Styela clava: one gene and its partners. The protein of the gene in region 3 purifies or fractionates together with the protein of the main gene of each other region. This does not show direct contact. Links are inferred from orthologs where the notes say so. Each region holds a gene or a part of one and is shown on either strand. Other genes may lie near its edges.

Region 1 (7,798 bases), on a different chromosome or scaffold from region 3:
ACGGTTTTTCACTGATTTTGCACGTTTTGGCAAAATTTCTAGTGGTTTTTGACGGTTTTCACTGTTTTTGCACGTTTTGGCAAAGTTTCTAGTGGTTTTTGACGGTTTTTCACTGTTTCTCGTTAGTACGCGCAACACTGTCAAAAAATAAACCACCAAAACGCGCAGAAACAGTCAAAAGTCAACAAAAATCTCCAGAAAACGCATTCAAGTATACGTATAACCATTGACTTGACATTGTCCATGTATTATGTTAAGCATAGAATGGAAATGCGATTTATCAAGCATGATGGTGAGAATAATACTTGTTTAAGACTTCGTCCTGCGTGATAGCAATGGCATGCTTCCATTGTAACAAACATTTTTTGCTCATGTTTCCACGTTTTGGCAAGGTTTTTAGCGGCTTTTGACGGTTTTTGGCGGTTTTTGCACGTTTCGGCAAGATTTCTAGAGGTTTTTGACGGGTTTATGCGCGTTTCACACGTTTTGGCAAGGTTTCTAGTAGTTTTTGAAAGTTTCCACCTCCCACTTTCGCTAAACAACGAGATCCGCTGATATCCATTTACGGAACCGCTACAAGGTGCGCAATTTTTGATGACCTCATAGCACACAAACAAGCGAATTCCATAGAGCTCACAGAAATATTTGAAATAAATAAAAGTAATATCCGGCGCGGCAGTGTGGCTCATCGTGCTAAGCGTTAGGAATACGCTCGCCACCGCACCTCTAATTACTCTGCGTGGGTTCGAATCCCATGCTAAATGGTTATGGGAGAGAAGATCGCTGGACTCCTCGCTGCCGTAGGGTGATTCACGTAACCGCTGGACGGTTACGGCTTCCTCTACCACCAAGTCCATGCTTCCGAAAAAACAAATACCTAACTAACCCCATACCCGACATGGAATGATGACCGGACGAGAGGCCGTGGTTCGCCGTATGGTTAAGCCGTCTAATCTGGGGTTACCGTATTTGAAAAAGCAAAATTCCGGACAGTGCATGACTATTTTCATGACCTCGTAGTAAAAAATATGCGCATGGTACGAATAACAATGTTCTGTATTAGCAGTGTGCACAGTACGATTGCAGATGCAGTAAAATTCCGGATTCCGGACATTTAGGCATTTTTTAAATTCTTCCCGGACGCAAAATTTAACCCTAAATTACGGACATGTCCGGAATTTTCCGGACGGTATGGCTAATCGGCTTTCCTCTTCCCCGGGATAAATATGTAAATCCTATCCTATCCTTCTAGCGAAAAATACAATCTTTAGCCACTGAAAATTCCAAAGCCAAAGTAATTAAAGAAAAAAGAAAAAAAAATTCATAACGATAGGAAGAAAAATTCTAACATAAAGAACAGCAACAACATAATAACGAAACGATGAATAGGTCCACTCAATGAGCATTCATTGGTCCACTCCATGTCCAATAAATGATTTTACATATTTACGATTCTACCCACACAATAGGGAGATTTAGGATAGGATAGGATTTACATATTTATCCCGGGGGAGAGGAAAGCCGATAAGACGGCTTATCCATATGGCGAACCACGGCCTCTCGTCCGGTTACCATTCCAAGTCGGGTATGGGATTAGTTTTTTACTGTATTTTTTTTTTCGGAAGCATGGACTTGGTGGTGGAGGAAGCCGTAACCGACCAGCGGTTACGTGAACCACCCAACGACGGCGAGGAGTCCAGCAATTCTCTCGCACATAACCATCCCTGCATGGGATTCGAACCTGCGAACCCACGCAGAGTAATTAGAGGTGCGGTGGCGAGCGTATTCCTAACGCTTAGCCCGTTGAGCCACAAATTTAAATATGTGATTCCGTCAGCAAATGTAGGCTACGTGGGTGCAATTGTACGTGAATACAGATGTTAGTGGGTGACAATGAGCGTGGCTACAAACGCCCATGTGTGCAAATAAGATAGGATATTTCTTCCTGGGAAAGAAAAGCCGATAATATGATTTCATAATTATAAGGTGAACCGCGGCCTCTCGTTCGGTTACCAGTCCTTGTCGGGTATGGGATTAATAAGCTAATTATTTGTTTTACGTGGGTGCAAATGTATATGGATGAAAATGTCCGGCTGCAATATGTACGCGAGTGCTAAAATATGTTAGTACAATTGTCTGCGGGTTCAAAAGTATGCAGGTGCAAATGGTCTGGGTGCAAATGTACGTGGGTGCAAATATGCTGTCTCCTGCACAGAGAATGAGATTTAATCAATCCATGGTTCAAAGGTTATGCCACGCACGTCGCAGTAACATGATTTTCGGATGGCATGGTGGGTTAGGAATAACTTATGAAGAGATTGTTATGCCAAAACGAGCGAGCCAACTACGGTATTTATTCTGATACTGATGCATACTCGATAATCAGATACCAGGATAGGATTACGGTAATGCTGTAATGGCAGAATAGTCTGACTGACTGATGGCAGGATGGTTGAAATTAAAACGAAAATGGAAAAACGTAGAAGGGGCGATACCGTACTGGTAATAGCCTACTGGAAAAATAATGTTACTGTGTTAGCATATACCGGTACCGGTACGATAGCCTACAGATATATGAAGATTAAGAATATTTATCAAAATTGAGAAACAAATGGGACGATTGCAATTGAACCGCAGTGCAGTGCCTATTTTTGTATTTCCTACAAAGTTGAACTGGAATACCGGTAATTGTCTGAAAAGAGTTGAAGTAAATAATAACAGATCTTCAAAAAATACCTCTTACAGCTGTACAGTCTTACGTTCTGTACGTTAATTAGAACAGTAGAGGGAATATGATAATAAAACTCAAGTTGTTACCTCAATTTATGTTTTTATGCAAAATATTTCCAATGCCAAAAAAGTAAATGAAATTGTAGAAAAATTTGTATAGGTTATATTACAGTACAGCAGTATTATGTGTGTTTTTGAATATATATACTGATACACGCAGTAGAAAATAATGTAATATTTTGTGACAGAACTATCAATTTAAATTGCCTAGAATATAATATAGGACAACAATCAAGTGCTTATTTAGGTAATTAATAACTACCGTAATAGTGTATTCCTCATGCTGTCATGAGTATTATAAAAGTATAATTGATTTTAATTTAATTTGATTTTAAGTAATAGTTTGATCTGTATGATATCAGTCAGAATGGGCAAACATAGGCGAACATATATGACGAAATTATAAAAAATCTCTATTGCAGTATTGGGAAAAGACTTGTGATTATACTGAATTCAAATCATAGTGTAACTTGTAACAATATTCATAATGAAATTTTGGCAAATTATTTAAAAACCTTCAACTATAAATTACAGTGGGATATCTTGCCCTTGAAAACTAAGCTAGAAATTAAAAGAATAGCAAGAAATGTAATATATTATTATGCAATAGCGGACCTGACTTCGTATCACATACTTTCATGTCCTGTGAATATACCCAGAAAGTTTATTATGATTTTGTTTGTTTAATTATATTAAAATTAATTGGGATACATTTTATAATAAAATTATGATTTTGCATATTATTTACTTTTAACGATCCTTTATTTAGTCGTATAACTACTGTAAATTTGAATGCAATTATTCTTTTGTTATCAATAGTGCGATATAAAATTTGATTAAAATCCTGAAGTATGCGCACCAAGCTCTTTTTTATTTATATATTATTTATATGTATATAGGTGAAATAACTTATTCATTATGGAAAACTGTTACTGCTGGAACAAACTGAGATAAATTGTTAAACCCAAAAATGGATGCAAAATGGAGTTTGGAGTATGGACTTCTATTTTTGTACACAAGGAGTCCAGCATCCTCTGACCTCTCGCACAGGATTCGAACCTGCAAACCCATGGGGGGTCATTAGAGGTGGTTTGAACATATCTGGGTTACAGGAATAGCATCCATTCCAAGGATTACTCCCTTCTTGCTGTATTTTCTATAAAAGACTATGCCATCATACTGTCATAGTACAGTAGTAATATTATGCTATAGCAGTATACCGGTAATGTCATAAATGGAACCTTTCATTGAAATCTAGTGTACACTACGATACTTGTTAGGGATTTGTAGAAATATAACTGTATCATCCTTGCTGTGTATGGTTTGTCTACCATTTAGTACTTTTGTCATTTTTTCTTTTCAGCATTAAGTTTGAGATTGCCATGTCATGTCTAAATATTTTAATATATTTAAAATTATGCATTAAATTCAAAAGGGGCAACAAAAGCACAGTTGTAAAAAAGTCTGTTATCGCTAACATGACAGTTAACATCACATTTCTTCTGTAGACTGTATTTGTAGAACACAGAATATGTCACTTAAACACATAAAAATGTCAAGTGGGGAATATCGATGTGTTTTTTCTTACCATTGGGGCCCTGTTAGTATCAAAATCACACCCCTTTAGTAGTATGGCCCATTCCCATTCCAAGAATAGCCGCCATATTAAAAGACATCAATTATAACAGTGATCGCAATTCGCAAATTTTTTCTGTACGACAGAGTGTGGGCCTCCACCCTCCATACTGACAAATTGGCACTGCGCAACAAACTAAAAGGAACGCAATCTAAAATGCCATCATAGCAGGCTATTCCTCTGAAAAAATAGATTTACCGAAAGTAAAATATTGTTACCATAGCATCCGGTGGTTTTTAGCGAAAAAAACGCAATTTTGGTTATGTGACGGCTGAGGCCTGTATCGAATAATTTGAATTATTGTTGAGTTAAGCATGGCGCATTTGCTGTCGTGCCAGACACCCTCGTTACAACTTTATAATGATCCTATATTTATGTATATTCTTACAGTTTTAATTAGGTAACATAAGATTTATTGCCAAATGTCAGACTTGATCCAGACCATCAATGATGATGATGAAGTCAAAGTTGAAAATGAAGAAAGTGAAAGTGAAGAAGAGGCAAATGTCTTGACAAAGGAGGTGATTCAGCAGAAGAGACGAGGTAAAGATGATTTCAACTCAAAGTTCATTTTTGATGAGGATGATGCAGAAGAGAATGTAGGATGGACACTCAACTCGGCAATTGAAATGGCAAAATCTAAACATGCCATCAGCAGATCTTCATTAGATCAGAAAATTGCAGAAGTCAGGAGAAACCGATTGATAAAAAGTGCTCATTTTGCCACAAAGAATAACATGAAAGACAACATTGTATCGAATTCCCAAAACGTGAATGAATATTCTATGGATTACTTAAGTTCAGGGAGCGAAGAAGATGAGACTATGTTGAAACCTGATAAAATAAGAATAAAAAATAAAAGAACAAAATTGAAAGATTCCGATGACATAAACTTGGATGAAGAAATAAAAGCTATGGTGTCAATGAAGAAGATTAAACAATCCACTGAAGATGTTCTGGGAGACAAAGAATTCTTTAATTCATGCTCACAATGGAACCCAAAGTTGACATTTCAGGATATGAATTTTTCTAGGCCCTTGTTGAAAGGTATAAATGCATTAAACTATGTTGTTCCTACACCAATTCAACAGGCCACAATTCCAGTGGCACTACTTGGAAAAGATATTTGTGCCTGTGCTGCTACAGGAACTGGTAAGACAGCTGCATTTATGTTGCCTGTCTTGGAACGGCTAATCTACAAACCTCGTGTGGCTCCTGTAACAAGAGTTCTGTGTCTTGTACCAACTCGTGAATTGGCTGTACAAGTTCATGCAATCACACGACAAATAGCACAGTTTACGGATGTTCAGGTATGCCTGGCTGCTGGTGGACTTGATATCAGGACACAAGAAGCAGCTTTGAGGCAAGGTCCTGACATACTTATAGCTACACCTGGTCGTCTGATTGATCATCTTCACAACACACCATCTTTTCAACTCGAATCTGTTGAAGTTTTGATATTAGATGAAGCTGACAGAATGTTGGATGAATTTTTCGCAGAACAGATGACTGAAATCATTCGACTTTGCTCTATTGGGCGACAAACTATGTTATTTTCTGCCACAATGACAGACAAGGTAAATGAACTTGCATCAGTGTCACTGAAAAATCCTATGAAGTTATTTGTGAATAGCAATACAGATGTTGCACCATATCTTAGGCAAGAGTTTATTCGAATTCGCCCAAACAAGGAGGGTGACAGGGAAGCCATAGTTGCTGCTTTATGTTCTCGTACCTTTGTAACCAGTGTTCTTATATTCACACAAACCAAAAAACAAGCTCACAGAATGCATATTGTACTGGGATTATTAGGACTGAAAGTGGCTGAGCTCCATGGTGATCTGAACCAGTCTCAGAGGCTGGAAAGTTTGCAGAAATTCAAAAATGCTCAAGTTGATATTCTAATTTGTACAGATCTTGCTGCACGTGGATTAGATATTGAAAATGTTAAAACTGTCATCAATTTTACAATGCCAAACACACACAAACATTATGTGCATAGAGTAGGAAGAACTGCAAGAGCTGGAAAAACAGGACGATCTGTTTCTCTGGTTGGTGAAACTGAACGTAAAATGCTGAAGGAAATTGTAAAACAAGCAAAAAACCCAGTGCGTAGTAGACTTGTTCCTCCAGCAGTGATTGAAAAATACAAAGTAAAACTCGATGAATTGGATGAAGAAGTAGGTGAAGTTTTAAGAATGGAGATCGCAGAAAAAGAAATGATAAAATCTGAAAACCAGATAAGCAAGGGGCAACGGCTTTTAGGAAAGAAACCAAATGAAGAACAAATTGAAAAGAGAAACTGGTTCCAATCTCGCATTGAAAGAGAGATGATCAAAGCAGAAAAGATACTTGGAAAACATTCAGAAGCCAAGCCTGGAAAAAAATTTGTAAAAGGGAAAATACTGAAAGGTGCTAAATTTGTTCCGCTACCAAAAAATGCCCAAGAAAGGGCTGCTAGGGAGCTTGAAAAAGTACAAGCTTTTCAACTGAGAGAGAAAAAACGAAATCGTAAACAAAAACGAGCCAGGGCCTGTGCAGAAAATGTCAAAACAGCCTCAGCCAAAATCAAGAAACCCAAAAACAAGTCATCGTTTGCATCTGAACTTACTGACACAAGTGCTCGGTCAGTTAAAAAGTTCAGAGCTGGTCCAAGTTATGAGGAACGAAAAGGGTTTAAAGGCAAGCAAAAATATAAAGAAAGAAAGAAGCAATTTAATGGAAAATTGAAACGACATTGAGAAAAAAATGAAAAGGTTTCTTCCCACATGGACTGGTGTCATAAATTGTGCAGAGAACTGGTTGTGTTGGGACATACCTTGGTAATATGTTCCATTTATATCATGCTTTAGTCTCCCCTTTTATGACAATTCCAGTGAACTTTAAAAAATGCTGCCATCACGAATTACTAACCTATAATTTTTGTCGAAAATTTTGAGTGCATTGAAAGAATGGGATGGGACAGGTGATATCGGTCGTCTAATTATATTAAGTTGTAATTTAGTTTGTAACGTCCTATGCCAACGTCAGTGACCTATCGTTTTATACCCAGATTTATAAATGTGACGTTTGTTCATATCGCAGCATACATGTAAGCTTTGCTTGGATATGAAGCTCGCGCGCTAAATCAATCGCTTGAATTGCGCAGGAACCACGGGTCGCTAACAGACAAAAAGAACAAATTTGAGAAATCGTTGTCTTTGTGCTGAGATGTTTTTTGCGCTTGACTTCCAATTCTGTATTTGGCACAAATACCATGCACGGCGGGCAGGGTGGTGAAATTGTAAACAAGAGTAGAACGTAAAGTCAACCGTGAAGTTCGTTATAACAACGCACATTGGCTCGTTTACGACTTGTTGAATTCCTTCCATT
Region 2 (7,902 bases), on a different chromosome or scaffold from region 3:
CCTGAAAAATGAAGCCAATGATGGCAGAGGGATTGGCATGCCGGATTGCAGTCATTACAAACATTTTAAGATGTGGGAATTGTTAGTGGATAATATAAATCTGAGAGTGTCAATAAACATATGTCAATCAAAAAAATAGAAAAGATATTGTTAATACCAGAAAGAGCTATGAGCCTTTTGAACATGTAAATTGCTAGCATAGAAGACTCTTCTACATGCAATTAGCAACACCATCAAATACCACATCAAAAGAAATATGTTTTTGAGCTATTTTATGTATGGCATACGTCACTAGGTATATGTCCTTATCCTATCTCAGCTATAATTTTCAGTTAAAATATAAATTACGGTAGTTGAATTAATGAATACAAAAACTTTATGTTCATGCATTACAAACTGGACTAGAATATTGACGACAAGTCAAGCACAATTACGACTAAGCTTTACAGATAGGGGAATCCACAATTTTACTTTAGTTCTACATGTTTATTAACAGCATGCATTCCTGTATAAGCATATAGTATTGAAACTGTAACTATACATTTGGAATGGGAGCTCCAGAAGTATGTACACCACGATGGCGCACATCCTGAACATAGTATTTATACCAGGTTAGGGTTCAGGTTGTGCGCCATGTTGGTGCACATACTTCGGGAGCGCCTTGAAATGAACATAATAAAATTATCTAACATTGACCACAATACCTATATAAACCAATCCCAGTCCTCTTTATAATACAATACTTACTTTGATTGTTGCCAAAGATGCCTCTCCTGATTTATCACTTCGGAAAATACTTCTCACAGAATTACAACACATTTCTGATATTTGTTTATTGCTAGAATTTGTTAGAGGCACAAGAACCATAACGATATTGTTATGAAAGTTGAAATGTGTTGTCTTTTCATACAATTCACAAAGAGATTTGACTGCCAAGAAAGTCAATTCTTTTTTCTCTTCTCCAGAAAGAATAGGATTTTTCTCTGAATAACATTGCATAAGTGTTTAATAATAACATAAGCATATATGAATATCACAAGTTAGAGCCGTATGTACATCTGCTAAAGCTGGAAAGTATTTCCACCTTTTCTGCAGATAAGGCAATGCCAATATTTAATTGGATAACCAAGGAGCAAGAAGAAATGGATTACCGTGTTTTATGAACCATATTATAAAGGCCATCATCATTCACAAAGGACGCACCAGACTACACAGACACAGTTTTCAAAGCAATGACGGTACAAAAAAGCACTACCTGATCCATACATTAGGCGCACCGGCTTACATGACGCACAATCGATTTTGGAGATAAAATAGAATTGAAAGTGCCTCTTATCGCCCGTAAAATACGGTAATACCAATGTAAAATACATGGCCTATTATGACTAGTAATAAATTTCTAACCATTCTTTTCTTTTTTTAAAACTTTTTCCAAGCTCTCTAAAAAACTTCTATAGTGTCTCAGTAACCCTTCTTCAAAGTCCACCAATGTTCGAACTTCTTTGCTTAATTTCACAGACTTTTCATCTTCGGTTCTTTCCCTGATTCGATAACCTACAAAATTTCACACAAAAGAACGTTTCATAAGATTATCATCATTTAGAGAATTTCCTAAAATAATATGTTTAAAATATCTACACCTATAGATAAAACAACTAGCGTATATACTATGTGACAGATTTTAAAGTTGTTTCAATCATATACCATACCTGGTATAATGTCAGTGAAGACACAGGCCATTGATGCCATAGCTAATTTACGAATAATAAAACAGGTCTCCATTGGTTTTTCTGTCCACATCATGTTTTGAAGTTTCTTCAGAATGCTGAAGTGAATCTGAAAACAATATTAACTAAAAATTGTTTTTCCAATTTGAAGGGAAACAGACAGAGTATTTGTCGACATATTGAATTATGGTAGTTTATGACTAAATAGTTCATAATCCTAAACAGTTTAGATCAAGTAATCAAGAAAAAAGTAATCAAGAAAATTACAGTGTGTATATACATATATACGGTATATATAAATATAATACCTGGGGTTCATTGACTATGTTTGAACACATTTTAGCAATCTGCATCTTTATTTGTTGAACATTTAATTTGGGTTTCTCTTCAGGTTTATCCATGACTTCATCATCTTGATGATCACCTTCAATTACACCATTCTCCACCACATCATCTACATAGTACTCTTCATACTGCTTAATCACAGCCCCAGAAATATCCTTGATTGGCAATAAATGCTTTATCTTTTTAGACGAATCTTCTTTTACATAAGATGTTGATATCCTTGCCACCTTCTCATACTGCGGCACGTTTTCAGAAAGGCGCCGCTTTCGTCTTCTGTCTGCTTTGGATGCCAGTACCATTTTAAATCTGATACAGCCTATATTTGTTTTCTAGTCACAAATGCTTAACAGGTAAGAACAATATTTGCATTTATTATTCATGTTATCAATCTTTGGACAAAAATCACAGGAACAAGGTTGTTTTTCTCCGCAATATAACAATGAACCATGCAAACTAGAGCGATTTCATACTTTAGCTTCAATTTATGGTACTTAATAAAAAGCACAATTGATGGAACTTCTTTGTGTAAAAATTGATTTCACATTATAATATATCAACTCCAGACGAATGCCCAACAATAAAATATACCCGGAAGACCAGAATAACAAACTATTCCATTATTAACTGAACACCCATGAATTTCATATTGCAATGTATAAAATTAGCTAACAATCACAGAGAAATCAAATACAATATAGGGATATTGAACAGTGAACATCCACTCATATTTATAAATAACTTGTAATATTGCAAAAATGATATTGTTCAAACTAATAAAACCATAGTTTGAAATACAAGGTTCAGATTTTCAACAATCCCAGAAACCATGATCACATATAGAGAGAAATTCAAATCACAAATCCATTGCCAACAACTCTTATATACCTTAACTCTTTACTATTGAGGTCAATTTCATTAAATTTTAATAATTCTCATTCAATATCAATATATTAAATTTCTTGAAATACCTAGTTTGGGGTATTTATTTGTTTTGGGAAGGAAAGTTTGAACATGGGAAACCCATCTAGCCAAATTTCTATATGTTTTATTAATTTCTTGGTATGAGAGTCGAGACACAAATTCATGTACTGAATATAGCAATAGAACATCTGCTACAGAAAGCATGTTTCCTGCAATATATGTATTCTGGCATAAATGGTTTTCAATTTTCGTTATGAAGTCATTAAAAAGGAGAGACTTTGAAGCTTCTGTTCTCAATTCGAGCCACTGCCATACAATTGCATGAACTTCGGGATTTGTGCCTGTCAAATCATTTTTCTTCCATAGATCAGAGAGATACCAAGCAAGGGTTGCATAACCAGAAAGTTTACATTCATCACACGTTGGTATATTACTTTTATCCAGTTTTAACTTTAACTTTTTTCCACCAAGGAAACTGTTGAATGCTGAAAGCTCCTCAAGTAGATCAGACGGTTGCGGCATATTTGTAGATTTGATATCAACCTTCTACTAGAACAGTTTATAATTTTTTCAGCTTTTTATTTAGTTAGTGCTAAAGTCAGAAAGTACGGTACGGTACCAGTTTAAACTAAAAATTTAGATAACGTTATATGACTATAACTGTATAAATTTCATTACGGTATTATTTTTAAACAACTCTCAAACTCCAGAACTCTCAAGAAAGTCATTAACTCAACTGTATAAATTTCATTACGGTATTATTTTTAAACAACTCTCAAACTCCAGAACTCTCAAGAAAGTCATTAACTCAAAGTCCCAAACCGCTTATTCCATCTGGAAAACTACCGCTACGAGGTCCAAAACGTCTGAAAACTAATAAATATCCGTGGATAAACCTATAAATTTTTGTGTAAACGTGTAATCCTGACTATGGTACTCAAATTATTCGGGAATCCTGAAAACACATGCGATGTTTTTCTGACCCTTGACCCCCTGAAATTCTCCATAAAACCGGCACTTGAGTATGGACCACACCTCAATGGTATGGACCAGGGGTCTCAAACTCAATTTACCTGAGGGCCACTGAGACAGAGTCTGAGTGAGTCCGGGCCGCATCAGGTTTTCCACAATAAACGGTTAGCTTAGAAATAGTAAATCTTCTAAAAGTTCTTTATTTTTTATTCTTGCAAAATAAGTCAAAAACATAAATGTAAGTAGTTCCGCGATGGACCTTCCCCCAAGCATCGACTTCCTTGCTTATTCCGTAACATTGGCTAATCAGCAAGACCAAACTGACGTAACAATAGACGTTTTCGCAACCACTTATTAGACACTTTTGTCATTCAAAAAGATTTTCAAGCATGTTTGTAAACATTACCGCGTTTTTGCATGCTATTTGTTAGTTTTTGGTTGCATTTCGAAAATTTAAGTATGAATCAAAGAACTCAATGATCATTCTGTCTGCTTTGGAGTCGTAGCTTATTTGCAGTAATCAAAAATTAGTTTAGAAATAGCTGTGATAGACTAGGCTAAACTTCTCTACGGGTAGCCTACTATTGAAAAACAGGTTGTTGAATGTTGTGAATCAAAATGATGATGTGAAACATATACCCCAACTCGCGAAGCCAACTCTAAAATGAGCACCAAAAAATTTGCAATGGTAAAGTATAGATAAAATTTTCTCGGGGTCGAAGGTCGGTGAAAGCAATGACATTAAACAATTTTAATGTCATTGGTTTGAAACACATACCCCATTTTACTGGCGCCAACTCGCAAAAGCATTCTTAAAAATAGCCCCGAAATTTTTGCAATGGTAAGGTATAGGAAGAATTTTTCTGGGGACAAAGGTCGGGGAAAGGTCCACTGCAAAATTTTTGTACTTATGCATGTTTCCCAGATCATCCCAGAAACATGCATGATTGAGTTGCATGTTGTCATTACGTCTTCAAATGAAATGTACATATATCCATGCCTTTGTCAGGAATGAACAGGATAACCGACAACGTAAGTAAACGCTTTCTATGCGAGAACAGCATAGCCTTAAGATGGCACTACAAGGCAATAATTTCCGGCCCTCATAAATCTTTGAAAAATCAATCATTTTCATTTCGAAATTATTGAATGATTGCCATAATAAGACTGAAGTGATAAGTCAATTATTAAAGCAATTATCTCAAACAGACAGAGCACATGCTCAACATATTATCAAGGACAAACTGTCCTTTTACAGCTGAGTGAACTTTATTTATACAAGTGACCAGTGAGGCATGCAATGAAAAAATGACAAGACAGTAATGATTACTGTAAACAAATACATAAAGTTCATGGAAAACTATTGAACTATCATGAAGTCATCATGCTTTCATTAGTTAAATTGATGTCATCGTAGCTATTAGGTTCTTTCAGCTGCTTTTATGATGTCATAGTGCTTTCTGAAATTACTCTCCCTCTTCCACAGGAAAATCGGACGTTTCATATCACTTGAAAGAAATCTTTTCGAATAGATAACAGAGCACATTGCTTCTATACAATGTGATGATAAAGTGTGGTGAATCTTTTAATGGGGAGAAGTACTATGAAGAGGTATGCTTGCTGTCGAAATAAATCAAGGAAGAGAAGTTGGCGTCGCTTGAGTCAGCACAGAAGCAGTAAACAAGCAGGATTGAGTGAAAAGCTAAAATTACTGCCTAGTAATGATACTGTAACTCGACGCATTGAATATGAATGTAACGACCAAAGTAATCAGCTTCTTCGTAAGTCAAAATTTTTTTGTTTGTTTCACTGTCGCATCCGATACCCCCAGACTTAAGATTCGCGAGAAATATCTCACTTTGCGGGAATTCATGTCTCAAAAAGGAACAGATATATTTCGTGAATTTCAGGTTACTTTATCAGAGAATTACCGTTGTATTTTTCGCATCTCGCGTTTAATGTCTCTTTAAATTATATTCTTTCGTGACGGATATTACTTGAAAGCAAACCAGACACTGCGTGGTGGGCAAGGAAATACGTTTCCGCCTTGTTATCATTATTTCACCTTTCCTGTGACACTCATTTTATTACGAATTGTTATATAAATTTGAGTATTTTAAAAACTTACAGCGTGAGAAAACTTAGTCCATCGTCAAATAACAACCAAGTCCGTCTAAGTTGGTATTTCGGAACTAGCTAACTAAATACTGGATTGCGCGGCCTTGAGTCGACTCTGTGTTTCGTCACTACTGTCACATGGCCCACGCTTGAAAACAGGGCCGTGTTTTTTACTAAAAAAAGGCACAAAACCTTAGAAAAGGGGGTTTGAATCTCGAGATCCCAACCCCAGTTGGAATAGCTAAAAATCTCAAACACGTTAGGCTATCAGATACAAATATAGCTAAAATTGTTCTGTGGGCCGCACGGAAAGTATCAGCATGACGGCTTTGGGCCACCCTGGTCTACCTTATCAAATACCTCCCGACTTTGCTGACCACTAGACCGTTGAAATGCGATCGCGGATTAATTCATTGGTCCACTTTTTTTTTAAACAAAAATGCAGCAACAAGGAGAATACTAGGAAGAAAAATAGAACAACAATTTAAGAAAACGACTCATAGGCCCATTTCGTGTCCAATAAATAAGTTTCAGTATTTTTTTTTAATAAAGAAGGTTAATATTATACTTGAAGACGAAAGAAAAGCAAACATTTTGAACTTTGAGTCGTCTGGTGAACTCGTAATATTTTAATAAACACCGACAAACTATACAGAATTTTGCTATAAAATTTCTGTGGTGCCCCTCTTTTCTGGGTGCCCTAAGCACGTGCTTACATTGATGATTGTTCAATGGTTAATCCGGCGCTGCTGGTATCCGATTGTCCAGTTCAGGAAATGATGATAGAAAAAGAGATGGCATTAGGAACACTGCGTATGACTGTGCAACACCACCAAAAAACATGGCAATACCGAGAAAAAAGAATGCCTTCGAGTAGATAGCATTCCATACTGCTACCAATCGGCTTCCGTATGTCATAGTATTGAGTGAGTTTGCATTAGAAAAAAATATTTTTTTCTGGGATCGACTAGGTGGAGATGGTGGATTATTGTCGCAGTAAAATACAAGCACAAGCGCGAGAAAAACGGCGACACCAAAAAATCCGTGTGTAGCTGTAAACAAGATTGTTACCGGAAAAAAACTCAGTTCCTTTTTCAGTAGCAGAAACGACCTTTGGGTGGCGTATGGGTATATCAGTGAGCTGATTATGCCAGCCAAAGTCTTAACAAACACAGGAAGTACAAAAGCCGTCGCAGTTTCATTCGAGGGAACCATGCAGCTGCTAAGAGAACTTGCGCCGTGCGGGTCACACCGTTGATACAAGACATTGTGATTTGTCCTACAGCGGTGACGTAGAATAATTGTCTGAAAAGCAATAAAATGCATTTACACAATGTATTACAAATGTTGGATTCGAATAAATCTCTAAATACAGCCACAAAGTAGTGAGTTTGGAAGGACCGAGATTTTTAAGTTACTTTTAAGCTTGTGTCGACTGCTTGAACGTACACGGTTCAATCTAGAATTCTATCCGACGTCAAAGTCAATATATCATGATACCTGATATTTTACACTCAAATGTTCGTTTCACAGAGTGCACAGAGTGCATATTAAGCCGCCACTTGAGAGCATATTTGATTTCCAGGTTAGCTACACGGGATGTGTACTGCCATTCAAGTGCAAAGAATTGTTCTTTTAATAATCGGTTAAAATGAAAAATGATGATAAATGTGTCAAAAATAATGCAAACTTTTGGTGTAAAAATCTGATAAAATACATATTATATCATTCAGACATCAGTGTCTCATTGCTAGTGAAACTGTAGCACGAATGGTCTAGACCAGTGGTCGGCAACCTTTTTCAAGTGACGGACCGGTAA
Region 3 (7,655 bases):
CCATAATAAATGAAGCTAGAGCCAGAGCTTCATAAAATTTCAGTGGTTCCAGCTCCTAACCATCTAATTATTTTTTACTCCAGGATAAAAAATCTATCCTTTTCAGATTGTTTTTATTAATTCAATTTCTAATATTAATACTAGTACTATTTTAGGTAAAATTTTATATTCGAGTTTAATTTTGTGATTTAAAACCCTTGTATCATAATTTTGAGTCAGGAATCTGCAAAACTGCATTCGGGATGATGTTATGTTGTAGTGGTCATATTAACTTACATGATGTGAAAAATTATGTGGTGTAATCCATGTCACTGACTGTCCCATTATCTCAGATTGAAAATATATTCCTTTGATTGAAATAAAGACTTTTCTCAGAGCTTTTGCTTCAATCACATAATGCATGAATTCCACTATAAGAAAAAATATTAATAAATCTAAACATGAGTATTATCTAATTAATATATACAAAAAAGTAGAAAAATAAAGGATGGCATGAGAAAATATACTAATTCTATAAGCCTATCCATAATGTTTGTCAAGCATAAATTACATATTGAACATCAAACACCCCTAGTTCAAACAAGATTCATGAAAGAAATATTTTACTTAAAATCCATGTAATCAAAATAAGCTCATTTTGCAAAGCCTTTTAATCGGGCTGTGTTCAAAAACAAAATTACCTGTAAGCCTTCTACAAAGCTGAACTGTTTCAGAATGAATACTGTGTGATTTTGGTAGATTAGAAAACAAGAAACACATGCACAGAGCATCGTCCAAATCTTGGATAGCTCCTGTAAATGTTGGATATCTGAAAAATATCAATACACCCCTGTCACCAGCACTGTCATAGGAGACAAGTTAATCTAACCTACCTACCGGTATATTGTATAACTCAAGACTGTGTGGGCACCATGTTCTAATGCAGTGGTTCCAAACTGCTGGTCTGCAGACCAGAACGAGCAAATTTCACTTTTCTCTCTCAGTGCAATCGCTTGGTCATAAAAAACATGCAGTTGCATTGCATTATTAGGCGAATTTTTCGGTAAGTGTGGTATTAGCCCCGTGAGTTTCACTCAGTCAAGAACAATAAAACAGCAAATGCAAGAAAAAAGGACACTCATTAAAATGAGACCTCGTTCATGTTTTTCCTATTTTAGTTCCATGCTTTGTGTCAGTCATTTCAATATTTGTTGCCGGTCCGCGAGGTCATTTCATAAGATGTCATCAGTCTGCCAAGTTGAAAAGGTTAGGAACCGCTGACCTAGAGTGTTAGAACTATTTTGACGTAGCAGTTCATCTCTGGTCCAAAACCTCACCAAAGGTGTAATAAAATTGACTGACTTATGAGGGCTCAGGAAATACAAACTAGTTTCTTAAGTAGCAAAGATTTGATAACACTCTATAAAAAGTGAGTGAGATGCTAATTCCAACAAAAATAAAAGCCAAAATTAAAATGACGAGTATTTCAGTAATGCTTATGGAAATATTGTTACCTTTCCCTCACAATGTGATCAATCTTGTAAGTTGGTTTATTTTCTCTCAAGTATGCTGCTCTCGATTTTTCATCCTTTGCCGTTGCTTTTTTCAACTTTTTTATATAAGTCTAAAAAGAGACCAAACACTTACAGCGCTAGTAATTTTAAAATAAATCTGATATAAAAAAGGTTAACCAAGACTTACTTTATGTTCACGAAATTTGCTTATAACAGGTTCGTGTGCCAGAAATTGAATGTCTTTCAAGAAGTAGAATGTACGATTTGCAGTGCTTCCTTTATTCACCTTAAAATAGAATTAGTATAAAAATAATATACAAATTTACAACCCATCAGAAATCCTGTATGATACAAATTTACCTTCATTTCATTTCAATTTTCTAACTCAACTATTGACCACATATAAATAGCTAACAAAAAATTCTCAGAATAAATTGGCTGCAGTCACATCACAAATATCAGAAGCAGAACTGGCAAACAACCTATATCATCATTGAAGGGTATATGTCAAGTGAGTGTAAACTTCAATACAAAAGCATCAGATACAAATAACTGGGTGGAACCAGGACAGCAACTTTCATTTAACATAAACTTTCTAGAGCAGGAACAAACACCAATAATTTTACTTTACCGCAGGGGTGTGCAACCTGCGGCCCTCAAGTAAAAATTGGAGAAGTGCCAATTTTGAATGATGTGTTTAATTTAATTCGGTATGTGCGAGAATTTTCAATCCCTCTGCGATGCGAAGATATCAGTGTCTTAGCAGCTGGTTTGTCGCATGTCGTCTCGACGCATGTCACAAGATCCAATAACCAAAATTTTTGTGCCCACGCAACTACTAGATAGTCTATGTTAAAAAAAGGTGTGGCCCGCCGTTTCAGTCAGTTATTTCTATCTGTCCCTCCTCTATAGATGAGTCAGTTGATTATAATTGAATAGTATAAAACAAGAATGTGACCTTATATTACTAAAGCTCATATATCAACGATTGTATCATTGTGACAAAAACATTTATCAATAACTGCAAAAAATACCATATTCAGATAATCTGGCGTCAATAAATTATAATCAACTATTGAAATTCTTTAGATGCTTGACAAAACAAAAATTCACCTTCTTTTTATGTGCTGGTTCATGAGGATAAATGCCCTTTAGAATACAAATTCGTCGAAAGTTGGCCAAACTGAGCTGAAGTCTCTTGCAAGCATGCTTTCGAGTTATGTATTGCGTTGCAGCTCCGGCTTCATGCTAAACAGATAACATAGTTTCACAGTGAATATGAGTGCTTGGTATATAAAAGTAAAAAGATAAGTCAAAAAATTATGTAATAATTATATAAATTATACATAAATACCTTCTTTTTTATTCTTCCCATGTCAGATAAGATGTTTGGTAGCAATAGATCACAGCGACGTTATTCCAAATCTCTACCAAAACGTGGATCTATCATAGAGGAGTCATACATCGGTGTTTCCCCTCTTATTCAGCACGTGGTTTGTGATCTGAAGCGTGAAATAAGGTTTGTCGTCAATGAATATTAAAAAGAAGAAGCGTTTATTGATTTCTAGTGTTATTCGTACTTTTCATAAAATTTAAATTGTCATTCCATATTTTATTCGATCTCATTAGTTTTTATTTCTTGACAGTTGTGGGACTCTCTAGCGGGACTTGTGGGCCGACTTGAACTGGTGAACACATTTTCCCTCAAGTTATTTGTTGTGTAGCAAATGGCTTCTATTGTGCATGGGAGGTCGGTGTTGAGGTTCGAAATCAAAGTTCCCATGAAAAACGCTAAACATGCGTTGATTGCAAAGAATACTCTGATTGTAGACGTTGAGCCTCGAAGGCAATTGGTGGATAAAGTGATTGAAGTAAACAATAATTTACTCTGCGTATACTGGACCGCAGCTGAGGCGCGACTTTTACGAGTATCTGTGAATTCCTTATTGAATAATCTTCGGCTCATTGTTGACACAATTGAGGGGTTTAGCATAGACTAATTTGCTATTATGTCGACGATGTTTATTCGGAATATTTTGAAGCGCTTTCAGCCCCTCAGGAGTGGACGCTTCATTTGTCATTCATGTGAACTATGCAGCCCCACTTACAATCAATGTAATTCTACTGCCTATTATTCTCGTTCTCATGAGACTAGTGAAAACTTGGAAAGTCCACCAACATCTGGTTCAACAGTCTCGTGGGATACTATAAGACGACAAGATAAATCAGACTTTCTATCAAAAAAACGGGGGGTACTCGATCTAGATGAGGTCATTCAGTTTTTAAACGAGGAAGGCTCATTGGACATCGTTGTAATTGAAGTTCCCAAAAAAATGTGCTATGTTGACCACTTTATTATATGCACTGCAACGTCGGCAAGGCATGTTGCAAGCATTGCTGAAATGGCAAACAAGTTGTATAAGTCGAAACGAAGGGGTATGCAACCTTTCACACTTATTGAAGGAAAAAGAATTAGTGATGATTGGCAGTGCATAGACATGGGAAATATGGTGATTCATATAATGCTTGAAGACACTCGTGAAAAGTATAACCTCGAAAAGTTATGGACTCTGGGTCATAAATATGATGACTTGATGAATGAGAAGCCTTCGGACGAAGAGATCATGAAAAGATTATCAATGGATGGTCTAAATTTAATGTCTATGAATGAAGATACTGTTAAAGCTTTGGGAAACCTTGAAGACCTCAACCCATGGGATAATCCACCAGAAGACTTTTTTGATATGTCATCAAAATCTGACAAGAATGAGTCAAATGTGGATGACACACTCGAGGATGACGATGCTTTCTTAGTTTAATGAGGAGAGTAGACAACAATCATTAGATGATATATCTCAATGTAGATATAATTTTTTTAACCAAGAAGAAAATGCACTCAAATGAACCTTTACCCCAAATGTTTTCCTGTTTCACTTTGTTGAACACAAGCTACTGTCGTTACAAATGAATGGGAAGATTTTTAGAATCTTGGCTTTTACACATTGTACTAGAACCACACTTCTCACTATCAATAACCATACCCACTGATGTGAAACCTTATTGAGACTGTTCAATCTAAAATGATGAATTTGATTTTGTGTGCTGGTCTACTCGAAAACATTCATAAAGCTCTTTTCATTCCGAGTAAATGCTTCAATTCCACAAGCACTCAGCAAAAATATGATTGAGCATTCAGACCAGACCTACAGGACGTGTGGGCCTTGAGGTGATTTAAATAACTTATGCATATAAAATATGTAAGAGGGTGGGGCCAAAGACCAATTATAAGTCAATTCTATATAAATTCATTTAATTCTAAATGCTCAATTGACATCCAAGTTGGCCACTTTCGTCGATTTTGGCACTACGATTCTTTGTTACAACATACTAGCTCGTGCGCTTTAAGGGACAAATGTATGACAGCGTATGCAATAGAGATGTTCGGTTCCAGCATTTTTCAACATAACAACAATGACTGAAAAAAAAGATACAACATCCCAACAAAAGATGGTTGTGTCGAATTGATCATGTGTTACACTGTTTACACATTACGAACAATATGACACGATACAAGTTATATGGTGATAATGATAACTTGCGTCCTGCAAACAATTGTTTCGTCTGTTGCAGCCCTTTCTTTTATTTGAGTTATGCAGGCCTGATTTTGACGAACAAAAAATATAGTTCACTGGCAAACTTGAATGTAACTTAAATCATTGGTCAAAAACATTTTTATAAATCAAGACTATGTGTATGGCCAAATCGTCAAAGGTAATGTGTGCATAACTTGCCTATGTTACCATTCTGTATTGATTTTTTTTATTTAATAAATATTTACAAACGAGTCTGAAATAAGTGAATTTTTGGCTTAGGACTGTAATTCACGAAAGGTGGATTGAATCGATAAAAAAGGCTAAGTTTCCTTCAAAGCCTTCCATCATGTTGAAGTCACAAGTATTTTTGGCTCAATTCACATCATCATCTGAGATTAGAGCCAAGTTACAAAGATTCCAACCTTCAGCTAAACCCGACAAATTATGAAAAGCAAACACAAAGTCTTATTGTCCTCATAATACATCTTTCATGGGCTTTCTGCTTGCTACCTAATTGTAAATGTCCATAATATGCAACAAAAGATTTTTGTTATGATATATAATGTAGATATACATAGTTAAAACTTTGCTTAGCATATGTAATGATATAGAGAAAATTGGTGAAATGCATACAATCAAGCAGTAATAGGGCAAGCGAGTCAGCAATATAGAAATAAGAATAGTGAGCTCTGATCTGCTAAAACATAAATTTAAAAAAATGGCTGTCAGGCATTGAAACACTGTTAATAAACACTTGTGCAGATTCTGTGGACCAGCCACAGGTTTGGCAACTGTATTGTATGGTTTGAACTTTCAAATGCTAATTCTATTTGCAGTGTAATATTCAACTGCAGTCTCAGGACTTATTTACAAAAGCGATGGCATCAAAAAGTTCAGCTCAATAAAATCAAATGTTATAACTCCTAATTATCTGAAAAATTCAACCAATTAACGGCTTATCCTAAAAATCGAAGCATTAAAATTATGGTATCTTAAGGATTGTCAACTAAAACTGATTGCTGTGCAATATTTCAACACCAAAAGACAGATTGCACGGAAAATAATTACTGTCATGAATCTGGTGCAATGCTAATAAGGGTATTCGGACTATAGCCATTGGTGTAGGTATGACAATGATAGTACATATAATACATATATGTCCCTTTTATAAATGCATGAAAATGTCAATTATTGGTGTTCTAAATAATGATGAAATGTGCAATACTAAATAAAAATTTATGTATATAAGCAACACATACGAAATGCGTATGGTTAGTACTATTTATCCTCATTTTTGGCCGAATTTAACAGACAGTGATTGTATTGGACATACAAAATTATCCATTTCTATGATTGCTCTAGCAAACAAATTTGTTTTATGAGTCAATGTCATTAAAGATAATATTTGTATCTTAAATCTTCACAATTCCAAATATAGAAAGTATTTATATATACAATGTTTAGAAGTCGTAGGGGTGAGTTGCCAGTCAATGATATGATTTATAGGGATACTTAATTTCATTTAGCTCATAAAAATATTAGTGAATCATGTATGAGTCATGTATATTTATATATCTATGTAACGGAGGATGTGTTTTAGGTAGAAAACAATCATTCCTTATGATAAAATCAGTAACATAGTTTTTATTGCGTTCACTTTGTCTTAGCAGTATTTTCTTTGTCTGTTTTGCCTTTCTTGCTGAACATCTTCTTGACTTTATTCTTCTTTTTCTTTTTGCTTGGATTCTGTTGTAACCTTTTCATTTTTTCATACGCTGAATCTTCCTCTGCCTCTTTCACGCGTTCTTCTTCAATGGAATTAACAATTACATTCCTCCGTTCAACAACCTCAAGAAGTTTTTGCAGCAGATTTTCTTCATCGATTTTATCTTGATCAGTTTTAGTAGACTCCGGTTTGTTAAAAAGCTTCCGCAATTGAAATTCAATATCTGCATGCTCCTGTTCATGTTTTTGTTGTTGCATCTGAAACACAAGGTCAGACTCTTGCCTGAGCAATTGATTTTTCTTATTAACCAGTTGAAACCACTCCTGCAGCAACTCATCTTCTTCTGATGTCCACTCACATTCACTATCCATTGCAAACCGCAACATTTCTTCTAATTTTACACCCTTTGTTTCATAATCAGTTAATTGAACATCGAGTAACTTCAATTCGTTAGCAATCTCTTGTTCCGACATTTTTATTTCTACTTTTCGCTTAACAAGTGGATATCCATACCCAGGTGCTGAACGGGCCTTGGGGCTTTTGTGCATGGCTCTAGCTTTTGAAGACGACTGTGGCTTGGTACTATTTTTAGTATAGCGTGGATCTTTTTCATTAGCCTTATTCAATTCAACCATTTTCTGACTTGATGTATCCTTCCATCCTGGTGGCCTAGATGGGGCAGCTGTTTTTTTGTGTGGTGATTGTGTTGATAGAAGAGCTGAAGTTGATTTTGGTGGTGCTGGAGCTGGCCGTTTCTTCTTTACTACTATCTTGTCATCAAGTTTTGCAGAATTCTTATAAACTTCAGTATTAAAAGGGTTGACTCTATCAACAGCTTTATTC
Region 4 (7,487 bases), on a different chromosome or scaffold from region 3:
GGGAAATACCATCATGTCCAACTGCTTTGCCCTTTTTCAGGTTCAATATTATTTGGTGAACCTCGGAAGGTGTCGTTTGCTCCAGAAAAAAAGAGTGCTGTGAGGGAGCACTCAAGAAAGCTTTGAAAGATTTCTTGCTATGTGGAATATTGTCAGCAAGTTTCTTTCCTACAGATGAAAAGAATTTATTGAATTCGGCGGATATTCTGGCGGGGTCGGAAACTGTGGCACCATTTTCAAGCTCCAATTCAGAGACGATGGATTCATTTTTGGACCTAACTTTAATAATGTCATTGATAGTTTTCCAAGTGTGCTTCACATCCCCTCTGTTGTTTTCAAGGATATTATGGTAATACATTTGTTTTGATTTTCTCTGCAAGTGCGTCAAAATGTTCTTGTATTTTTTGAAGTGGAGACGCTGGGATGAGTTTCCCTTTAAGAATTTTTTTCTAAACATATTGTTTTTATGTTTGATGGACTTACGAATTCCTTTAGTAATCCACGGTTTAGAGTAAAGTTTATTTTCTCTACGCGAAAATGGTCTTAATGGAGCATGTTTATTAATCAACCATTTGAAGTGACTAAGAAAAAGATCGAATGAGCTATTGAAGTTTTCCTCATGTATGCTAATACTAGTATAATTGTTACAGATCGACTCAACCTCCAATCTGAACAGGTCAACACAAAATTTAGTCATGTCACGTTTCATGCGAGTGTTTGTCTTTATATTGCCAGTAGTTGCTGATATTGTGCACATTACGGGAAAGTGGTCAGTGAGATCACTGAGCAAAATAAATGATGAATTGCAGAAATTTACGGTATTGGTGTAAATATGGTCTATAAGGGTGTGAGAGGTCGAGGTAACTCTGGTTGGTTTGGTAATGAGCGGGCATATAAAATTAGTCATGAGCATGTCTAAATACTTGGTAGTGAGATTGTTATGAGAATCAAGAAGATTTAAATTGAAATCACCTAATATTATAAATTGCTTTTTAGCCATTGTCAGCTTCTCGAATAGACAGGACATTGCTGTGGTGAACGCTGGAATATTATTTTTGGGATGCCTATATATTACACCAACAACAAGATTTTGAATTTTTGAGGTTGGTTGGAAGTTCTTTAATTCAATCCAAATGTCTTCGCAGTTAGGAAATTCTAAGCCGAGTTTAGAGCATGCATGATAATTTAAATTGCTATCAATATAAAAACCAACACCGCCTGCTCGAGTTGGGGATGGAGCATGTATGAAGGTGTACCCAGGGATATTAACATTCGCAACACTGTCACTTATGATCCTGGTCTCGCTTAAGGCGATGATTTGAGGTGGAGTACAAAAATTGGAAATCAATTCAACTAAATTATCAGAATATTTAGGTAATGATCTAATATTAAGGTGCAAAATGATGAACTCTGAAGGTAGAAAACTTGACGTTACCCTGTTGATATCAGATATTTCAAGATATTGACTTGGGGTAGAAGAAATTTCAGGGTGAAAGTTGATAGATTCCCAGTTTGGGTTGGGATCACTGTTTAGGTCATAGATAGGTGATGATAATGGATACAATTTTAAAGAACATGTAATAGATTGTGATCAAATAGGCTAGTGCGATGGGGGGAATGTCATAGCTTGAAATTTTCCAAAAGATACTGAAGGTTCTTAAATAGGTCATAAGGGGAATTAATAATTTACTTAAGTATAGCAGTGGAAAAATCATTGGACTTATCTTATTTTATCCAGATCGTCTTCATCAGTTATGGACAGAGTGTTCGTGTCTTTGTTCTTTTTAATCAATATCTTGCCATTTGATGTCCACAGAAAGGCGTAACCACATCGCTTCTTGAGGACCTTCGCTTGGTAAAATAAGTTTTTATTTCTTTCGGTTAGGTTTTCAACCACGAACACCTTTGACAAGTCTCTTATAGATGTTGTATTGTTAGAGGTTTTGATCAAGTTTCGATTTTTGAGTATCTTGGCTCGGATTTTGCGGTTTGTGAATTTCGCTACAATTGGTTTATGGATGTTGGTATTCCTTGTTGGACAGCGGTGTGTTACGGAGATGTCTGAAGGCTTTATGTCTACATGGATAATTTTTCCGATTTGTGTTACTAGTTCATCAGTATCTTCATTTTCGGTTGATGGAATGCCATGAAATTCTAGGTTATCCATCCTAGATCGACGTTCATGTTCTTCTATTTTTTCTGTGACATAAAATAACTCATCTTCAAGATCGTAAACTAACTCTTCGAGATCTCGTATTTTTTTGCTATAAAGAGTAAGTTTCTCATCTGTAACTTTTTGCTTTGCAATAACTTCGTCATATTTCTCAGATTGGAAGCTTTGTGATTCTCTGATAGAAGCAAGGTCTTGTTTAATTTCTTTCAGAGATATCATCTGTTCCTCCATGCATTCTTTTAGACCTGGACTCATTGGTAGGTATTCTGATGAAAAGTTTGCAGAGCTGAAGTTTTCTGTTAAGCATTTGGCAATTAGGGATGGTAACTGGTTCATGATGTTTGTTTGTATTGCCTCCTGTAGGTTTATCTGGAAGTTAGAGTGTTCCTTCTGTTGTTGCAATACAGATCCAATTGGTGAAAGGCCTGGATCGGGAAGACTTCTACTCAGGCGTTGCTTAGGCTTTGGTTTGGTGGTATTATTGATCGAAGCCATGTTGTTGTGGATGTTTGAGATATACGCTGGAATTGATGTTAAAATAGGCAGCGAAGAATCAAGTTAGACTATTCTGCTAGTTTAGGTTAGATTTAAAACCTTAATTATACAGCGAATAATCAATGCCTCGTAGATGTTGCCTTTCTTCTCTGGCCAGCTTTAAACTTCATCAAGAGAGTAGTACAGCACTCTTGAACAGACTCAAGACTTCAATATTTGAGTTGGTGCAGGGGGAGAATCAAGTTAGACTATTCTGCTAGTTTAGGTTAGATTTAAAACCTTAATTATACAGCGAATAATCAATGCCTCGTAGATGTTGCCTTTCTTCTCTGGCCAGCTTTAAACTTCATCAAGAGAGTAGTACAGCACTCTTGAACAGACTCAAGACTTCAATATTTGAGTTGGTGCAGGGGGATACCGCCCGTGCAAAATAAAACCAGGTTTGGTTACTGAAAGCTAATTCTAAGCAGGTTAGAATATATAGAGACCGATTCGACCATTTCAACAGACCAGGCCGGCGCTAAATAAACTTCGTCAAATTAGATATAAAAATTGCTTGTCGCTGGGTTTCCAAATAGGTGTTTAAGACGCCGTATAGTTATTAGTTTGTAGATAGGAATAAGAATGAGGAGTAATTATCAATCCCACTTTCAACAGCGATGATTTTGCCATTTTCTTGTCCTTGTACAATTTGAGTTAGTCATTTTTTTTAAATTGCGGTGGGGTTGGGATGAGATATTTACACAGAGCTGGATACAGGTAAATCTGACATTTTCTATTTCATTGAAATATCCAGCTCTTGTTTATTCGAACCCACGCAAGATAATTAGAGTGGTGGCGAGCGTATTTCTAACGCTTAGCGCGATGCATCATACCGTGGAGCCGAGTTTTTAGTTTAGATTAAACACTAAATTATACTTTTGTTAAATTTTCAGTAGTTTCTACTTTTTTGTTGTCAAATTATACTATGTTGAGATACAAAAGAGCAATGCACAAATATATGGACATGAAGTAGTACGGTTATGCCATCTGTTACAAACAACGACTAACATACCGGTTACAAAAGACTACAAGTACCGGGGTCTTCAACGAATTCGCTTTGCTGTTATACGAACGCGGAACCGCCACAAGATGGGAATTTTTAATTTTGATGAATTCATCGCACACAAAAACAAATCATAAATTTCATACAATTTTTGGAAATAAATAAACGCAATAGCCTTCTAGCGAAAAATACAAACTCAGCATTGATCGAATCCCATGGAGCCCACAAAAAGTTTCGAAATAAATAAAAGTAATAACCTTTTAGCGAAAAATACAAACTTTGGTGCTCCTGTCGCATACTGCAGAAGTACCCAATCTTTAACCAATGAATATTCCAAAACAAATGATATAACAACAAAACGATTCATGACCATAGGTCCATTTCGTGTCCAAGAACAAAACAATCCACAGTTCTATTTTGTATCCAAAAACGTCCATTAGAAGCATGCTCGACTCCATACACCACTGTATTTTAGTTTTCATTGTCCGTCACTTTGAAGTTAATCGAACTACTACAACTAGCACGTGTGCAGACTTTCGTAAGGCGTAGGCAGGCAAAATGGTTTATTCCATGTTTTGTAGGAAAAGCACTATTTTAATTTAAAAGGTAGAAGTTTATTGCATTCAATTATTTACTTCAATTGTTCAATTGCTTCAATTGCTGTTTTTGTTAAATTGCTTTCAAAGTACTGCCCGATTGCAAATCGCGTTTTTCTGTGTTTGTTTTCATCTTTTTTGGTGGGCGGGCACGTACATTGTACGCTTTTTAAGTTATGCCAGTCTCTCAGGTATCTCTGCATTTTGTTTTGTCTGTTTACTTTTTGTATTGTTTATGTCAGAGAACCAAAATAAATGACCGGGTACCGGTACCGTACCGGTACATTACCTGCATACCAATTACGGTACCGGTAGTATTTTGGGGTCTAGTATAGTTTAGTACCACAAGTACTTCCGGTGGGCGTAGCATAACGAATTTTGCATATGCTATTCCTAACCCCCACCTGACTATGCCATCCAAAAATTACGTCACTACGGCGTCACCATCACGTCATAGAGATTGCCAAAGTATAATTACGATCGCCCGAAATGACATCTGCGCCGCCGATAACGAACTTGCTAAAGCCGGCGATCTCTCTCCTATAGTGATTGTTGTGGCGAGAAAACGAGAGAAATTGCTTGCTCGATTTCGGGTGATCGTCTGCGCGTTTTAAACGACCATCCACATACTTCTGTACTTTGGTGCCAGACTGGATTTCATGGCAGATGCACGCCCGAGGGCGCTAGCGCTCCACAAAAATGCACGCGAGCGAATTCAATTTTGCACGCCGAAAATTTGCAATTGCTCACCAATGTAAATCGGTTTAAATAGTTTTTAAATCAATAATCTAGTAATATAAAGATGCCAAAAAATTATAACTTTACAATTGTCGACTAATACTTTCTTGCAAGATTTGGCCTGATCGAAAAATGCGAAGCAAAAATCACCATATCGTGTTGAATGATAGGAATCCCGTGAGAAAAATCGCCTCCTCACCGACGCTGGGCAGTTATGGCTCTGATTCAGCGCATTTTTAATACAATAATTTTACACGGATGTACTGAACAGTACCGGTATCTAAAGTCGCACAAACACTCTCAAAATTAGTGACAAAATATAGAAATGATGTTTTGGGGTCAAAGGTCAAACGTCCATTTTTGCTATGATCCAACTTATTTTTACGCGGATGTATTGAGAGGCATCTTAGTTCGAAATCAGTTTAGCGGGCGCAGTTGTTTTGCACGCCAGAAATTCTTATTTGCACGCGGGAATTTCTGATTGCACGCCCGATTTCTCGTTCGAAAAGGCCCTGAAATCCAGACTGGCTTCGGAGGGCCTTATTACGCCACTGTGACGTCGAAATGACGTAATTTTTCGGTGACGTAGTCAGTTGGGGGTTAGGATTGACATATGCAAAAATTGTTGAGCCAGGTCAACTAGAAGTACATGTTGTACTAAACTATACCAGACCCCAAAAATCTTTACAAGTTAGTTATGGTATGAAACTACACGAGACCCATTATTTTGGGTTTGGTTGCCTTCATCCGATTATATGTAATACATACAGACATAGGCCAATGTTGAATAATTCATGTTTCTTATTATATTCTAATGCAAAGGATGAAGCGTTGTAATTAACTATGTTAACATCACATTTTCATGATCACAGGTACAAGCCTCTTGTCCACCATTTATCCCGGCTGCCTGGGGTGTATTAATTTGCTTGGCAATGCTGAACCAGAAATAAAACAATATGTCTTGCATATCCAGATATCAATGTATCTATAGAGCGTTTGGGGTGGACGCATGAAATCACTGTATAAAAAACAATATTTTTTATGATGTGATTCACATTTTTTCTGCATATTCAGTGAATGAACGAACGTAAATCGTGTGTCAAAGAGCCTCATTCACATGTACTCTTTATGTAATAATGTGTTAATAATATTTTGTTTTAAAAGATACCTAACAATATGGCGGATCATATTCAAGCTAAGCTTGTAACTCAGGATGAGAAATATAAGATTGCAGATACCATGTTTGAACTGCCGGGAGAAGTAACTGTTACAGAATTAACAAATCTCGTAAATAAAGTTTTGAAGGAAGGAGTCAAAGATGCGATAGATGATGAAAATGAATATCAAAATATGGAATTTGATTTTCTTGTGAATGGAGAGTTTTTGAGAATTCCACTTAACCAATACATCGAGAATAAAGGTATATCGACAGAAAAGGTTGTGGAAATTGAATACATTTTGAAACAAGAAAGTCCGAAACCAGAAGATCAATTTACACAGGATGATTGGATTAGCAGTGTACAAAGTACAAAAGAATTCATTTTGACAGGATCGTATGATTGCACTGTATCAATTTGGAATATGGATAGTTCAAAACCTTGTATATATGGTTTCGGTCATACAGAACCTGTAAAGGCAGTATCATGGGTAAATCGTGTCAATAATGATAAGACTGCTTATTTGATAAGCTCATCCCAGGACCAAAGTGCCATTTTATGGCAATGGGAAAAAGGTGAAGAAACTATAAAACCTTTATTTTGCTGCCGGGGGCATTCTAAAAGTGTTGATTGCGTGTCAGTTCATCCTGAAATGGAAGCCTTTGCTACCGGTTCGTGGGACAGTTCAATAAAATTATGGTCGACATCTCCTGTTCCACAAGATGACTCAAATGAGCCAGAAGATTTTCGAAAAGCAAGAAACAAGAAAAAACGTCAGCGTATAGAGCAGCGTGGTGTTACTAGAGTTCCAAAATCGACATTAGCAGGTCACCGAGAAGCAGTGTCATCACTTGTATGGTTATCATCTTCCGATTTATGCAGTGTGTCTTGGGATCATACAATCAATGTTTGGGACATAAATGAGGGTAAAGAAAAATTAAACTTGCGTGGAGCAAAAGTATTCTTAGCATGTGACTACTCTTTTCATAGTAATCTACTTGCGACCGGAAGTTCGGATCGGCATATCAGAATTTGGGATCCACGAGGAAAAGATGAAATATTCTCTAAAGGATCTTTAATTAAATGTAATCTAACTTCACATACTGGATGGATCACCTGTGTAAAGTGGTCACCCAGTAATCAATATCAACTAGTGTCTGGATCTCTCGATTATACAGTTAAATTATGGGATATACGAAGTCCGCAAACTCCACTTTTTGATGTGAATGCACACCAAGATAAAGTTATGTGTTTGGATTGGAGTAATGATGACATTATATTCA

What was found.
Region 1: the proteins of pescadillo homolog (region 3) and putative ATP-dependent RNA helicase DDX27 purify together in Homo sapiens (affinity purification with mass spectrometry; 4 studies listed by BioGRID and IntAct, counting the BioPlex papers as one, with this or other methods). This does not show direct contact. The link is inferred for Styela clava from reciprocal best matches to the Homo sapiens genes PES1 and DDX27.
Region 2: the proteins of pescadillo homolog (region 3) and nucleolar complex protein 3 homolog purify together in Homo sapiens (affinity purification with mass spectrometry; 3 studies listed by BioGRID and IntAct, counting the BioPlex papers as one, with this or other methods). This does not show direct contact. The link is inferred for Styela clava from reciprocal best matches to the Homo sapiens genes PES1 and NOC3L.
Region 4: the proteins of pescadillo homolog (region 3) and ribosome biogenesis protein wdr12-like purify together in Homo sapiens (co-immunoprecipitation; 7 studies listed by BioGRID and IntAct, counting the BioPlex papers as one, with this or other methods). This does not show direct contact. The link is inferred for Styela clava from reciprocal best matches to the Homo sapiens genes PES1 and WDR12.

The regions. Positions count from the first base shown.
Region 1 is NC_135257.1:251,782-259,579, reverse strand, and holds putative ATP-dependent RNA helicase DDX27, read left to right. Parts: upstream 1-4,792; 5' UTR 4,793-4,848; coding exon 4,849-7,167; 3' UTR 7,168-7,345; downstream 7,346-7,798. UniProt on the Homo sapiens protein: Probable ATP-dependent RNA helicase. Component of the nucleolar ribosomal RNA (rRNA) processing machinery that regulates 3' end formation of ribosomal 47S rRNA.
Region 2 is NC_135257.1:7,179,907-7,187,808, forward strand, and holds the start of nucleolar complex protein 3 homolog, read right to left. Parts: upstream 3,017-7,902; 5' UTR 2,372-3,016; coding exon 2,036-2,371; intron 1,837-2,035; coding exon 1,710-1,836; intron 1,555-1,709; coding exon 1,405-1,554; intron 984-1,404; coding exon 748-983; intron 1-747. UniProt on the Homo sapiens protein: May be required for adipogenesis.
Region 3 is NC_135252.1:3,713,522-3,721,176, forward strand, and holds the start of pescadillo homolog, read right to left. Parts: upstream 3,008-7,655; 5' UTR 2,869-3,007; coding exon 2,848-2,868; intron 2,742-2,847; coding exon 2,607-2,741; intron 1,780-2,606; coding exon 1,681-1,779; intron 1,604-1,680; coding exon 1,494-1,603; intron 809-1,493; coding exon 681-808; intron 411-680; coding exon 277-410; intron 1-276. Other genes in the region: uncharacterized protein K12H4.2-like, read left to right, coding at 3,503-4,312; MICAL-like protein 1, read right to left, coding at 6,740-7,655. UniProt on the Homo sapiens protein: Component of the PeBoW complex, which is required for maturation of 28S and 5.8S ribosomal RNAs and formation of the 60S ribosome.
Region 4 is NC_135261.1:8,153,730-8,161,216, reverse strand, and holds the start of ribosome biogenesis protein wdr12-like, read left to right. Parts: upstream 1-4,470; 5' UTR 4,471-4,485; coding exon 4,486-4,500; intron 4,501-6,211; coding exon 6,212-7,487.